2 linked regions of the Diceros bicornis minor genome follow. The protein of the gene in region 1 purifies or fractionates together with the protein of each later gene. This does not show direct contact. Links are inferred from orthologs where the notes say so. Each region holds a gene or a part of one and is shown on either strand. Other genes may lie near its edges.

Region 1 (7,281 bases):
CGGCCAACCTGCATCCTATTTAATTCCTTCCCTTTCCCCACCAGTGTGGTCACCGGGCTGTGTTTCTTAAAGGTATTCTGGCTGCTGAATGCCTTTCTCAGCTCAGAGCAGTTCTGAGATTTAATTGGAGAAACAGAAAGAAACAGGAACGTTTGGGAACCAAAATCAAGAAGAGCAGAAATCTTGGTTTGATTTCGTGTGTGAGAACCTGTACCACCCCTCTCTGTACCCATGGAAGTTTCCTGTTTGACACGGGGATCAAGGGGGGCCTTGAAGGCATGGATTAGTACAGAAAGAAGTCAGTCCTACCATTGTCATTTGCACACATTAATGGAATCCTGATGAGGACCTGCTTTTTGTTTGTTTTCCTTTAAAATCCAACCCTGTTGTATTTGTATTTAAAATTTGTACACATTTGTATAATAATCTGTATCTTGTGGTATTTGGTACTATTAGAGGAAAAACTTTGGATTCAGACCTTCTTGCAGTTTTTATATCATTGTTTTATTTTGTTTTTTAAATAAATTCTAGCAGTTTGATCCAAATCCCATTACAGTTGTATAAAGAAATAAAATTTTGTACTTATATTATTAAAAATCACATTTTTATTATTTGTAGTCCAGTCTCAGCTATCTTTTCCCTGCTGCTAACCAAAAAAGCTACAAAATTATAAAACCTGTTTTTCACACGATATCCTACAATAATTTTCTTAAAAAGAAAAATCCATCTGGAATAGAGGTCAAGTTTCTGATCTTAGCCATTTTCCTAGCACACATCTTGCTCTGTTTCTATTAACTGTTACATTGTGGAGTCTCTCGTGTTCTCTCTTTTACAAATTGTAAACCCGGTAGCTCTGATAAGTGCAGCTCTATTCGCTGGCAAATGAAATTGTATGTACATTGCAGTGTTGGCCTAACTCAAGAAAATGTCTATCAGTCTTATATAAGGGTTGCATCTGAATCACGTGCTTGAATATATTTCATACTGTTTCAGTACTGTCCTGACTTAGTGAGTGATGTTGGTTAAGTCACTTAATCTTTATAGGCATCCAAAGTCCCATCTGTAAAACAGTGTTAATGTCACTTTCCTGATCCAAGCCTGCAGCCAGCCAGTCTGACATGAATATTTAATAGTATTGTGAACATTTAATATATAGAGATTTGACCTTTCGAGGTAAAAATTTCAATGCAAACACAATATGTTAATAGTTATAAATAGTGAGACATTATGATTGATTAAAAGGATAACTTCTTATGGAGAGGCAGCAAGGAAGAGACCACCATATTACTGAATGACTATTATAGAGTGATGTGCATATTTTATCTCACTTAATCCTCCGAAAAGCCTTATGAGTATTATCCCCCTTTACAAATAAGGAGACAGATGTAGAGAAGCACTTTTCCTAAGTTTAGACAGCTAGTAAATGGCAAAGCCAGATAAGCACACTGGTACAGCTGACCCCAAAGCCTAGGCCCTCTCCTACCCCAAGCCACTTTCACACTTAAATTGTGTGTGTAATTCATCAGAATCCTTCTCTGTTATCTATAGTCCTGAGCAAATGTGATTGTAGGGAAACTATCTGAGACCTTTTCATTGTTCCACTGTTGTTTTGTCCTAGCTGGCTTTCACTATACAGGCCTCACTTTTCTTGTCATACTATTGTCTTTAAACTTTGGAGGCAAAGTATCTTGATTTTTGTCCAAAAGTACTTAAAGGATGTAATAGATTACATTACATTTATGCAATATGTCAATCTTAAGGAACTTAAACATTTTTACCCTCAGGAAGGCATTTGATATTAATATTGCTAAAACACTTAAAAGGAAAAATTAAGACAGACTTTTTACTAAATGAGTTTGTTCCTTGTTTGCAAACACTTTTAAAACATAGTTTTAATCAGTTTTGTACTACACTTAATATTTGCCATTTACATTCCTGTCATGTTGACAAAATCCACACACTTCCTTTGCTAATTTAATAGCTATATAATATTCTGTTTGCACGGAGTTAATATGACTGCACTCTGTGTTTGGGGATATGTAGGTTGTTCCTGCTTTTTTACCATGAAGGATAAAATTTATGTCTGTTTTATTCTTGGCAGTAAAGCCAAGATCTTCTGCCCATAATCACTTTAAACCAGAGTGATCCAAGAAGGCAAGAACTTCTGGTAAATCACCACCCAACATGGGAATGTTCAAGATTGTTAATGGAAGAATCCAAAAGAAATTCGTGCTAAATATACTCCATACAACCAAGCCATATGCTTAAATGAAGAAAAACATGGAAGGTACCTGACATGAAGTTCATCTTAAATATACATCCCCCTTTATAGTCCAAATACCATTACTGAAAGGTAAATTATTTAAATTTTCATGTTAGTCACTGCGCTAGACAACAGTGGTGAGCAAAACACAGTATCCCAGCCCTCACAGAGCATCCAGAGAGGGAAGGCGTTTATTAAAAGGTCTCATGAGCATTATTAAAACACTTCGGAGGGGGCCAGCCTGGTGGCGTAGTGGTTAAGTTCGCGAGCTCCGCTTCAGCAGTGGGTTAGGATCCTAGGCATAGACCTACGCACCACTTATCAAGCCATGCTGTGGCAGGCATCCCACATGTAAAATAGAGGAAGATGGACATGGATGTTAGCTCAGGACCAATCTTCCTCAGCAAAAAGAGGAGGATCAGCAACAGATGTTAGCTCAGGCCTAACTTTCCTCACCAAAAAAAAAACAAACACTTCAGAGCTCAGGAGTACATGACTTCCATAAAGTTTTTCTATTGTACAGTAAGGATGTCAGCCCCTATGGCTGCTCGAACAGGTTAACATACAAAAGTGATTGAAGTTCTAATGTAGATTTTCCATCCTAATTTTGTGCAGAGTCAATTTACCAGCCTTGCAAATTTAAAAATCACAAGAATCATGATCAATAAATAGTAAAGCACCCTGCAGTAGCCCAAACTACCAAAGCAGTGGTTATTGTATCTTTTGGAATGCATGTCATTGGAAGGAAAAAACATAACCAATAGATCAGATATCTAACGTGTAGGTGACATATCCAAAACATGGTACACAGTCAGAAAGGCCGAAGAAGATATTCGAATTACAAAGCTGGGAAAGGCCTTTGAGCTTTTTGGAGTCCACTGCTGTACTTTAGGGACCCAGAACCTCCCTGAAGTTAAATTATATCTCTGCCTTTTTTCTTCAGAAGGGCTCATGGCTTTCTTCAAATTCTCAAAGGAGACTGTTACCTAAAAAGAGGAAGGTTACGAGTCCCTGATCTAATTCCAGCATCCAGAGAAAATGGAAACTCGCTGTTTGAATCACACAGTAAATTAACAGCAGAGATGGGTCCCAGGCCCCACTCGTGCTTTCTGCCACCCTGGGCGGTAGCCCATCCCTAGCTGTAATTCATGGAGTTGGCTCTCAGTGGCAAGAGATCGCAAACCCCTGGCCCTGGCCTCCGATTTGAGGTAAGCGAATCTGGGCAGCAAGCAGGGCACATGTTGCGTCAGGGAGACCTCGACATCAGATAGGGAAAGTCCCATCAGGACAGGGCGACAACAGGCCAGAGAGGCTGTCAACCCCCGCGGCGGGTATGTAGTCACAGTGTGGTCGGAAGGGCTAAGGGCCGAGTGAGAGCTGTAGTCTAAGCGTAACCTTGCCCAAGTCACTTCCCTGCTCCCACACCCAGTTTTCCAGATGCGTTAAGATGCTTAGGTCACGCCCCTAAACCTTAAATAAACGTCGAGGGCGTGGCTTAGAGAGGTCCACGCCCCCAAGTCCGCCACCGCCCCACGTCGTGCGTGACGTCCGCCGACGCCGAGTAAGCCGCAGTGACGTCATCGCCCTCCCCCCTCGGGACGCCCAACCCTTCACGTCAGGGGCGGGGCCTGAGGCCGCGCTCCACACTCCCTCTGCCCCGCCCCCACGGGCGCCTCCTCGCGGACCGTCCGGCACGTCACGTGACGGGTCGGCAGCGCCGGCGGTTGCTGTCAGCTGATTCCCCGGGTTGGTGGCAGCCGCAGCGCAGCAGAGGCGATGGAGTTTCTCCTGGGGAACCCGTTCAGCTCTCCGGTGGGACAGCGCATCGGTGAGTCTCCGGAGCCCCGCCCAGCCCCGCCGCAGGGCTCTGCTTCCGGCCCCGACCCCCCGGGGCGCCTCCGGGTCCCCGGTCACACACCGGAGGGAGGCGGGGAGGGGAACGAGGCCGGCGTGTCTCTCCTGAACCGGCCCCGCCCAGTCTCCCACCTTGATTGACAAACTCCGTGGTCCATTAGGAAGCCTCGACTTGTGATGGATGCTTACGTCAGCCAATAGCTAAAGAGAGAGGGCGGGTTCGGGAGGCCGCGGCTCAGCCAATGTGCGGCTACTGTGGTCCCGACTCCACGGAGAAAGTTTGGGGGGTTGAAGGGTCTGCGCGGTTTTGCAATTCTTGCGCCCCTCGACTGTTCCCCGCGTCGCGCCTCCAGTGCGGGTCGCGCCGCCTGGGGTCTTGCCGTCTCCTTCCTGCTCGCCAGGCTCTCCGCACACGGATACCTGAGAAGGGCTGAACGTCCATTCTCCCAGGACCAGGAGTCCAGGGCTTGGCGTCTGGGCGACGACCTGCGGGGAGGGGCCGGTCAGCCCTGCCTGCCCCGGGCCCGGGCTAGACGCTGGGGAGCCCGCTCGACCAGGCGGCCATGCCTTAGCGACCAGGGTCTCAGGACGTGCTTGCCCTGGCAGTCCTCACCTGCTGGCATGAGACCCACCGCCTAGCGTCGCAGACTCTCTGGGCTGGAGGTGATCTTAGAAGCCACCTGCTTCGGCCTCCCTCATTTCCCGGTAGATGATCAGCCAAGGGCTCTGGCTGGAGACACAGGCTTACTGGGAGCCCAGGTCTCCTGACTCTCTTGCCGCCTGTTGACGGGAGACCTACAAGTCTTGTGATGTTGCCTCACTGTAGAGCTCAGGCTTCCTCATCCGTAGTTAGGGGATAATAATGGTCCCTACCTCCGTGGGGTTGTTGTGAAGATTAAACTCGTTAATAAATGTAAAGTACTTAGAACAGTGACTGGCACATGGCCAGTGCTATATAAAAGAAAGTCATAGTATTTATTATCGTTGTTCCTGATATACCACCAAGCGAGGGTCGGAAATCCCTGGAAATGGCTGGGCGGTAGGTCTCATGGGTGCTCATTCCTGCCCACCAACACGGGGAGGACGCACAGGCCCTGGCCCAAACAGCTAACACTTCTCCAGGGACGGTCTGGGTGTGCCTCCTTCTCCCATGAGGAAACCACTGGCAGTACTGTGAAATTCTCTCTTCATCTTTTTGATGGTTTTTAGCCTTAAGTCCAGACTGGGAAAATTGTATCTTTTAGACAAAATATTTTTTCCATTCTTACCGTCTTGGAAGCCAAACCTTGCTCAAGTCTGCGGACCCAGCTCTGTGGTGTAATGTCCAACATGACTGTTTGTGGCTCTTCTGAGGTTTTGTAATCACCTCTCTCCAAGAAGGGGGTGGCAGTCAAGGATTTACACACCAGGAAGCTCCTGGACCAGAGAGCGGAAGCTGCCCTCTCAGGACCACCGTTCCGGGACCTCCCCCACAAGACGCTACACACACACACACCTCCGGGACCTCCCCCACAAGACACTATACACACACCAATGAGTCATTGTTTTGGAGCTGAAAACAGAAAGCAGCTCTCCTCTCGTCTTTATTTCTCCAGCTACAGATAGCACTGCTTTCATCACATGCCAAGTTTGAGACTTCCTACTTAAAAATAAAAAAAAAAATCTGGCCTTCAAAGTCAGCCACAGGGCTGGCCCCGTGGCTTAGCGGTTAGGTGCGCACGCTCAGCTGCTGGCGGCCCGGGTTTGGATCCCGGGCGCGCACCGACGCACCGCTTCTCTGGCCATGCCGAGGCCGCGTCCCACATGCAGCAACTGGAAGGATGTGCAGCTATGACATACAACTATCTACTGGGGCTTTGGGGGAAAAAAATAAATAAATAAAATTTAAAAAAAAAAAAAGTCAGCCACATATTCCTGAGGATTTCTAGAAAAGTTCACGTGGACTCTGGGCTTTAGCTGATCGGAGAAAACAGCTTCTCTTCTACCCTGAAGGGTTTCGAGTCTTGGGCAAGAGGTACTCTGTCGAGAGAGAATACTACTAAATCATAGCACCTCAGAGCCCAAACCGCCTTTTACTGCCGGAAGGGTCCTTCCCCTGGGGACCTTCGAACCCGGGGCTCTCAAGTGTCCCCTGGAAGACTTGTTAAAGCGCAGGTGGCTGGCCCCCACCCCTAGAGTTTCTGACCCTCTACGTCTGGGGTGGGGCCCTAGAATTTGCATTTCTAGCAAATTCCCAGGTGATGCTAAAGCCACTGGATTGGAGGGCCAGCCCTGTGGCTTAGCGGTTGAGTGCGCGCGCTCCGCTGCTGGCAGCCCGGGTTCGGATCCCGGGCGCGCACCGCTTCTCCGGCCATGCTGAGGCCGCGTCCCACATACAGCAACTAGAAGGATGTGCAGCTACGACGTACAACTATCTACTGGGGCTTTGGGGGGAAAAATAAATAAATAAAATCTTTAAAAAAAAAAAAAAAAGCCCCTGGATTGGAAACCACATATTGCAAACCTCTGTTCTGGTCCACTCCCTTCATTTTACACAAGAGGAAACCGAGGCCCAGGGAGGGGAAGGTGGAGACTGACTCACCCCAGACCCCAGTGAATTGATAGTGAAGCTGAGATGAACTCCCCCAGAACCAGTGAAACTTGAGCCAAAGCTGAAGAGGCTCTAAAAGTAGAATTAAATGAAGAATAGCTGCGATCTGAGTTAATGCCCTCAGTAGTCTGTGTTTTTCTTGTGGATAAAGAGGCGGAAGTACTGCTGATTGGCTGTGATTACTGATGACCCACTGTTAGCCGCTTGTATTTCTGTCAGCTGCAGGAGTAACATAATCTCTTCTCAAGCCTGCCACCTCCATCCCCTTGTTGAGAGGAGAGCCCTGTAGAATTGGCATCCCTGAGCACAGTGGGTTCTACTGGTGCTCATCAGGGGTGTCACTTGACTCACAAGTGCGCACACGCTTGGACACACACACACACACCCCTTTGTGCTTGCTGCACCCTCTGCCTGGAATGCTGTCCTGTGTGCTTCCTTCAAAGTCGCAGGCATCGTCACCTCCTCCATCTCCTCCCTGAGGGGTACCCTGACCCCTTCCCTGACCCCTTCCAATCCAGCCATTGCTTCTGTGTTCTCCCTTCAGCCAGCTCCTCAGGCTTCCTCACTGTCTGCC
Region 2 (8,391 bases), on another chromosome or scaffold:
GAAAGATTATCATCAGTGTCACCTCGAGAAGGGCTTTTTTGAAGGGTCTTGCATCTTCCAGTCTGTAACTTGGGTTAACATTAAGTAGGTCAAATGAAGAATAATTTGAGTGCCATTCATTCTTGCAGAAAGAAAAATTTGCAAGTTGGCTTGGACTGGGGTATTCCTTTTATAGTTTGGGGCACTTATAGACTGCCATTGTGTGCCAGTCTGCTGCTCCATTTAGTTCCCTGTTCAAGAAATGAAATTTTTAAGCCCTCCTCAGTAATGAGTATAATCTCATCTCCACATCTGATCTGATGGCTTAGCTAGATAGTCTGAAAATATAGAGACAGTAAAGGGCTGTCTTTATTAGGTAGTTTTTATTTTCAGCCCGTGGAAAGCTTTATGTTTGAGTGATTGGTAGACCTAACCTAAAGAGATCTTTTTTTGCCTGTTGGTGCTATCAGGGCTGGCTCAGAAATAAATTAAATCAATAAATATGAGGTAGGCTCATATGAATGCTACATATTTTTCATTACTGGAATATTACAGAATGAATAGTAGTTGTATACTGTTCAACATTAAACTCACAGTTATTTGTAATATGAACAACCAGGAAAAGGAAATAACCAGGTTTTTGGTTAGTTTTACGTAATACTCTTTTATCAATCATGACACGTTAAGGTAAGGCATTTAAAAAAAAAGTAATTTCTAGTGTGTCCTAAATTTGGTACATATTCAGGTAATTTGCAGGACTATACAAAAAACTTCACAGTAATGAATCTGAGGCTTTTAAGATTGAGAATTACTTTCCCCATATAATTTTTTTAAAAGCTTTTTCAAAAGATTTTAACACTGAGTATAAGTATTTTTCATACTGAAAAGTGTTGACTGAGTAAATTAGCTTATACTTCCTTGAAACTTTATTACTGAGTTAACCAAAACTTTGTTTACCAAATCTCAGTCCTTACCCATTCTGTTCTGAGGAAGAGTTTACTACCATAACAAGGCTGCATATGTGCATTGCTACTGATAGAACTATCCCTGGAGTGTGACAGATTTTTAAAGTTGCTGTGGGCCGGCCCCGTGGCTTAGCAGTTAAGTGCGCACGCTCCGCTGCTGGCGGCCCGGGTTCAGATCCTGGGCGCACACCAACCCACTGCTTCTCCGGCCGTGCTGAGGCTGCATCCCACGTACAGCAACTAGAAGGATGTGCATCTATGACATACAACTATCTACTGGGGCTTTGGGGGAAAAAATAAAATTAAAAAAAATTTTAAATTGCTGAGAGAACATAACATGTTTGTGGGTCATACTTTGCTTTGAATTGGAGACAGTAATAACTCTAGATGAAGAGAGACAGCTCTACATATTTAGAAAGAAGGAAAAAAATAGCCCATAACAATCATTCCCACACCTTGACCCTCATTGCCCCCCTTCATTTTATAGAGCCTCTCAAGCTTTTTGTGACTTTTGAAAGGGATGTTGTGATGTGGCATCTGATTCCCTATTGATCGGCAGGGTTTTTCTGTCCATAATGCTCTGTGAATCACTATATTTGAACCAACTTTCCTCAGATGACTTTTTAAGGTAATGTTATGAGCCACTTCATTCCTCTGCTTGGATCTGATTTAACCTTTAGAAAATATGGGAGGGGCCAATATAATATTACTAGATTGCAGATTTTATTCCCACAGGGCCAGTCTTGGCTATTCATTGGAACATGCTCAATCCTGACCCAGAATAAAGAGTCACTATAGATCTTACTGCTATCCATGACACATTATAAAACCTGTCTATGAAATTAGGTTTAGGACAACCTGAGCAGTGAATGATATTAGGTGCAGGTCCATTTCATACTAAAATAAAAGGCCATGAAAATTTTTTCATGCTTTGTGTTTTTTTTTTGGTTGAGCTTTGCCTATAATCAGTGCCTTGTACAAAATAAAGTGGGCACTGTGTGTTGACTGATACCTGAGCCATTTACTGGTATTTGATATTCTGCTCTTTATCTAATCCTGCTAGTATTCATATGAGCGGCCCGAGGGGGCTGAAATGTTTCAGAGCTGCTGTATAAATGGCAAAACCACTTATCTTACTTGGGTAATGCTAAAGTATATCCCTCTTGGTTTCATTAAAATCTGAATTTTAAATATTTGGTACTGTGGATTAGGTTTAAAGTTCTCCTTTAAAATTAATCTCAGTGTTTGAGAAATGCCTTTACTTTGTGGCTTTTGCAATGCAGCTAGCTCACGCTCTTTTTAAAAGGTCAAGTTAAAAGGCAGGGGCCTTAATTCAGGGGCTGCTTGAAGATTAACAACTACAGAGGAATCATGCAATGAAAAGTTTTTCTCAGGTGTCATTCTCATTGGAGCTAATATGTATATATATATATATAAATATCATAGTTCCTGTCATAAAATATAAAATTAGGGGCATAATAAAGGTTTCTTATGTAGGTTTTGGGAAACTGGCACTCCTCAAAATAGACAAGCAATGCAGTTTTTGCTAATGGCACTTCCTGTGACTCACAGCAAGGACCTTCTATTGAACATTCTGATAGAAATAACTTCCAATTAAAAGAACGAGACCAATTTTTTATTAATATGGCTGCCTTACTAAAACATTTTCTGAACCCAAAAGCCGGGATGATGATACATTTATAGCAGTAGCCTTATTAAAAGACTTTGTCATAGTTAGAAAAAACCCAGCATTTGTTTTCTGGTTTATTAGGTTATCTATCTTCTCTAACTTAAGGTAGTGCCTGATAACAAAGCCATTCAATTACTGCTCAGGTAACTGTTAACAGTGACTCAGCCTTTGGGGCTTCTAAACCAAGGATTGACAACCTTTTCTCCTGCCTCCACACCATTTGCAAGAACAGCAAACTACTATAAAAAGCTCTTATTACCTCAGGCAAAATTATTGTTAAAAGGCATAGGTTTGGTTTTTTTTTAGTGTTTATCATCTGGACCATTTTTTTCTCTTGAAAAACTTTGGATTTATTAATTTGAAGGATACAGTATTCAAAATGAGCTGGTATATTGTAATCTATTCTCAAATGATTTCTGAAAACAATGCATTAGATTTCCGTGTGATGACACAGCAGTCACTTGAACAGAACCTCAGTGCACTTTTGGTTAGACATTCCATACCAAATATCCAAGCTAAAATCAATTGCTTTATGGATTCTAAATGTACTTAAAATTACAGGTCTGTATGAAAATTCAAGACAGTTATTAATAAAGAAAATTTTGGTGGCACATTCATGATATAGCTCTTGTATCCCAGATTCTGAGATTGGAAATGTAACTTGATTAAGTTACTGCTTTTACTTTAATAAAACAATAACTTCTTTAGATTTTTAATTTAGAATTTGTCTACTTCCAAAAAGGGTTGAAAGCAGCTATTAAACTGGTATTAGAAAGATCATTTCAAATGTTGCAGAATACAGAACATCTTCAAGTGTCTGGCTTAACAAAACAATGAAATTTTGCCAAGCATAAATATTCACTCTTATGACATGGTGGCAAGGCTTTTCTTTGCAGAACACTCTGCTCTCTTACCTGCCAAAGATTCTTCTCTCATCCTCAGTATGTGAGATGTATTTTGGGAAAAACATTAAATGCAATTTAAATGATTAAGCAAACTAAGCAAAACTACATGGCACAAAATTACTGTATACATAATAGGGTTTTATGTTTAACTGAAAAGGGAACTAAAAATAATTGTGTACTTGTTTTTTCTCAAGATCTTTTTGGAAAAATAATCACATCTCATAAAGATGAGAGGCACAGAACTAAATTCTTTTATCCTTTATTGTATTTGTGCTATTATGAAATATTACATCTTATACTTTAGCAATAAAGTACTACAGTTATTAATTGATAATGAATACTGAAGATACCTTAATTATGTTAGAAGACACGATGCTGCAGCTTTGAAGCGCTTACATTCCCAAACACTGCTAATTTACAGGCAATGTCGAAGTGGTCCCACCGAAATACACCGCTAATAGTTAATCCCTTTCTCCAAGAGTGGACATTAGCCACACGAGGAAGAACCTTAAGGTTTTACAAACCGCCCTTAACGTAATTATCTAAATCTTTGAGACTCTTAATTATTTGATGTAGCTAAAAAATCTTCCTGCTACAATTTTGGTCTAATTCTTTAGCGTATGTATGATACTCAAATTCTTTAACACCGCATTTATTACTAAGCTAGACCGATATACACGTCTGCCAAAATGTCCGCAAAAACGTTAAGAAAAACCATCACTAGGCCAGCTTGAGATACCTCATAAATGGCCCTCACTGTCCTTTGAGCCAATTATTTAACATCCGAAGAGACCGCTAGTTCTAGTTAGAATCCAAGTGTCAGCTTCTCCAACCGTCAGAAGGGCGTGCATAAGTGCAGCGAGGATTTTAAATCGCATTTCATTCCCCCCTCCCTGGGATGTAAGAAACCACCCACTGTATGAAACTAGGTGGGGTAAAAGTGCTGCAGCCGGCTGCCAAGACAGCGCTCTGCAGGGAGGCCGTTTCCCTGAGTCACGGAGAGGGCGGGAGGCTGGGCCCATCTGCCCACGCCACGTCCTCTTCGTAAGGGACTCAGTTTAAATAGGCAGGGCCCACAGAGGAAGGGAGCAACACCGCTATTCCTCAAGGCGGCCCAACAGCCACCACATTCCCAGGAGACACCTCACTCCCCTAGAACTCGCTCGGCCTTCTGGTAGCAAACAGCCAACCCTTGCCGACCAGCGTCACGTGCAGCCGGAAGTAGGTGGGTGGGACCTAAAGCGCCCACGGAAATGACGTTGGTGGCCCCTAGTCGCATGATGTGGCAAAATGCAAAAAAAGGGGGGGGAAGGGAAAAGCAGGAGGCTGGGGAAAGTAATGAGTCCAAAAAAGTAGTCCCTTAGATTCTTCTATTTACCCCCGTGTCGCAGAAGTGAGCGAGGCCCGCGGCGCACTGCGCCCCAAATTCCTGCGCTTCGCAGCACGGGGGCGCTCCGTGGAAGGGTACATAAAGCGGAGGGGGTGAGGTGGCTTGGGCGGAGTTCCGTCGCCGGGATCCCTCCGCAGGGCTCAGCCGTTTCCGGAGTCTGCGCTACGCCGGGTTCCGCCATTGCGGCTCTCCTGGCTCCTGGAGCCTCCGCCCCCGACCCGAGCTCTTTCGTCTGCCTGCCAGTTTCCTGCGTCCCCGGAGAGTATCCTGCTGAGCCCAGCCCCCCCTCCTCCTCTCCCTTGGAGAGCCTGGGCAGCCACTGCCCCGCAGCCCCAGTGACAGGAGGAGACCATACCCCCCGACAGCGCCATGGCCCAGATTCTGCCAATTCGTTTTCAGGAGCATCTCCAGGTGCGGCTGGGCCCGGGCCGCGGAGGGCTGTGGAGAGGGTGGTAGGAAGGAACAAGCTGGAGTCTGGGCCCAAGCAAAAAGAACAGGATCGGAGTGGGTGGGAGGTCGGTGCCTGGGGTAGATGGAGGATGGGGGCGCTATCTTGGAAAGCTCAAAGGGTTAAATGATGTGGGGCTTGGATGGAAAGGACGAGAGTCGGGTGCAAAGGGCAGCGAAGCCAGGCCTGGGTGCGAGGGCCTGTCTGTCTTCGCTTCCTGGATGGCAAGAACTGCGCGTACTAACCTCCCCCTCCCTGTTTTATTCAGTTCATTCATTTGGATAGGTTGGGGGAGGGGGGTAGATCTCCCGCGTTTCTTCCCGAGCCAGGATTCTCATCCCCTAGGCTGTCACTTCCCATTGCTCTTCTTTTCCCTTTCCCCCACATAGTGTCTGTACTCAGGAGTTGTGGGGCGGGCTGGTTGGGGAGGAGCAACATTTTTTCTTCTTCCCTCTGCGGCTCTCAACTGAGAAAGGCACCTTCCCTGGGGGCTGGGGGGAACGGCAGTGGCTTGTCTCTTGCCTTCCCTGAGGCGGTAGGAACAGAAGGTCAGTAAAGGAACAGAAGGAGGATAGAATGGGGGAACGTATTTCTCAGGGCGGTGACAATCTCAGAGTGCATGGGTTCAAGGTCCCTAGGGGAACTCGCCTTTTTTCTTTTCTTGATTTCTCTGGGTATTCTGCGGTCTTATCCCCTCTTTGGTTCTAGAAGGTAGAACTGGGTTATCCGGAGGTTATCTTGAGGTCTGGTGTAGTCTGGCAGGTGGGCTTGGCTTGAGTACCTGCTTCAGGATTGCTTGGAATTGAACAGAGCTCTCAGGATAGAGCACACCTGCTCTGAGGTATGCGAGGTTATTTGGTCTGTAATTGGCTTCCTTTTAGTAGGTTCTAGAGTTCTTCCCCATGGTGGTGCATGATCCTGTAGGCAGCATACTGTCTTATCTGGCAGCAGGCCCATGGCGGGCCCAGGCAGGTGATCGTTGGGGAGCTTGACTGAATTAAGTCTCTTCTGGGCTTTTGATTTCCTGGTTCACCAATCCTGGTTTTATTTTGGCTGAAATAATTTATTCTTATTAATTTGCTTTTTTTTCAAATACCCTTTAAAGAGGCCTGCCTCAGCTCAATCTTCTGAAGGGCTAATTTCATAATGATAGAAGATGCTGTGGTTTGACATGATGCCAACTAATGTTAGTGACCTATCGGACACTTGACCATTGAAAGCTATTTTACTTTCTCCCATTGGTATAACATACATAAGGGATTTATTTTAATAAAAAGGTTTAATATTCAGGCTATCAGTAACATTTCATATTTCTTTACAGGTATTACCATCTTGGCTTGCATCAGCAAGAAATTCTTTTCTTTAAGTTTTGAAATGTACTGAATAATAAATATTTACTCAAAAAATGAGTTGAGGAATGCATTTTCTTCAGTTATCTATAGTTGTTAGATAACTCATCTGAAGTAATGGAACACTTACAAAAGGTTAAAAAATGTTAAGTGACAGAATGGACACAGAAGTTATTGTTTATGCTCAATCAAGTTTTAATTGCTGTGGTTACTTCTGTTAAAGTAGGGTGTAGATCAGTGTGGAGGGTTAGGAAAATGTTCTTGGGTGTGAGGCTTGTCCTCACACCAAAGTGCATCTGAAATATCTTTCTACAGACAAATGTTTGTAAAATCATACACAAGAGAAGTAGGTACATTTGCTGTCTACATGGCAGGAGTATAGCACACTAGTAGATCTTATTTCTTGACTAGAGGTGTTTTGAGCAATAGCTTTGCATTCCTATTAAAGAGAAGACAAGAATTGTGAAATAATCCCAAAGATTGGAATCCAATCTTGTCACTAATTGAAGGCAGATTTAATACAGGTCTGATTTCTAAGTGGTTCGAAGTTTCTGCAAATACTTGAGTAAAGCCATTTCCTTCTCAAATAATTTGAAGATGTGAGTATAAAGCAGCTTTGCAAGTATACTTGAAGAATTTAGTAGACTATTTTTTGGAGTATTATGCAGTGCCTAAATTTAAGCTTCCTGTTGTGACTGTATACTCCAGCCGATAATGATTAATTGCACAAAGAGCCCCAATCACCAACCTCTTCCAGGGTAATATATCTCTTGACTTCTCATTTTTATCCTTTCCCCTTTTTTTTTTTGGTGAGGAAGATTGGCCCTGAGCTAACACCTTTTGCCAATCTTCCTCTTTTTGCTTGAGCAAGAGTGGCCCTGAGCTAACGTCTGTGACCATTTTCCTCCATTTTCGTATGTGGGATGCCACCACAGCATGGCTTGATGAGTGGTGTAGGTTGACACCCATGATCCGAACCTGCGAACCCCGGGCTGGCCCCTATCCTTTTCCTTTTTAAAAATTAGTAAAGATTATTTTAATTGGCCCCTTAGGTCTTTGACCTCGGAGCCTCTGCCAGTTTGCTAAGCAGCATAAAACTTGCTGAAACACTTAGGATAAAAATTGGGAACAAGAATTTAGGAACTTGAGTGTCAGGTTAGCTTGTGAAAGCTTCAAAATGTGAACTGTAAATGAATTTATTTTTATACCATATAACTACTTTGGCCAACTGAAGGTTCTGTCATCAAAGCTCAGAACTACATCACATGAATGTTAGTATTTTAAGTTATGAAAGATTTATTTTTTAAAGCATGTTTAGGCTGAGAGCAGTCAACAGATGAGTGCCTATTTGAGCAAGACATTACTAGAGTTTCAGATTCTGAAAAAAAAAACCTAGGTTACATATAAAATGTTGCCCACAATTCTTAATTCTTGGCACATTAAGAATCCTTATGCCAATTGACACATTCCACTATATTCCCAGGTTTTTTGGGTCTGTGATTAAAAATCTCCCACCCTGTTCTTTTCCCTTTGATCCATAAATGCAGGCATGGAATATGTTGCGAGTTGAATGATAGGGGTTCTTGCTATGGTTATTTTGGTTTGCAAAGAGAGAGCAATGCTAAGTATTACTGGCATATGCTATATGCTTAACTGTACTGCCTG

What was found. Proteins that work in one complex are often made in the same cells at the same time.
Region 2: the proteins of TOM1 (region 1) and CLTC purify together in Homo sapiens (affinity purification with western blotting, with the first as the bait; 3 studies listed by BioGRID). This does not show direct contact. The link is inferred for Diceros bicornis minor from reciprocal best matches to the Homo sapiens genes TOM1 and CLTC.

Annotation. Positions count from the first base shown.
Region 1 is NC_080764.1:14,280,638-14,287,918, reverse strand, and holds the start of TOM1 (target of Myb1 membrane trafficking protein), read left to right. Parts: upstream 1-3,957; 5' UTR 3,958-4,039; coding exon 4,040-4,091; intron 4,092-7,281.
Region 2 is NC_080757.1:28,257,349-28,265,739, reverse strand, and holds the start of CLTC (clathrin heavy chain 1), read left to right. Parts: upstream 1-5,014; 5' UTR 5,015-5,298; coding exon 5,299-5,340; intron 5,341-8,391. UniProt on the Homo sapiens protein: Clathrin is the major protein of the polyhedral coat of coated pits and vesicles. Two different adapter protein complexes link the clathrin lattice either to the plasma membrane or to the trans-Golgi network.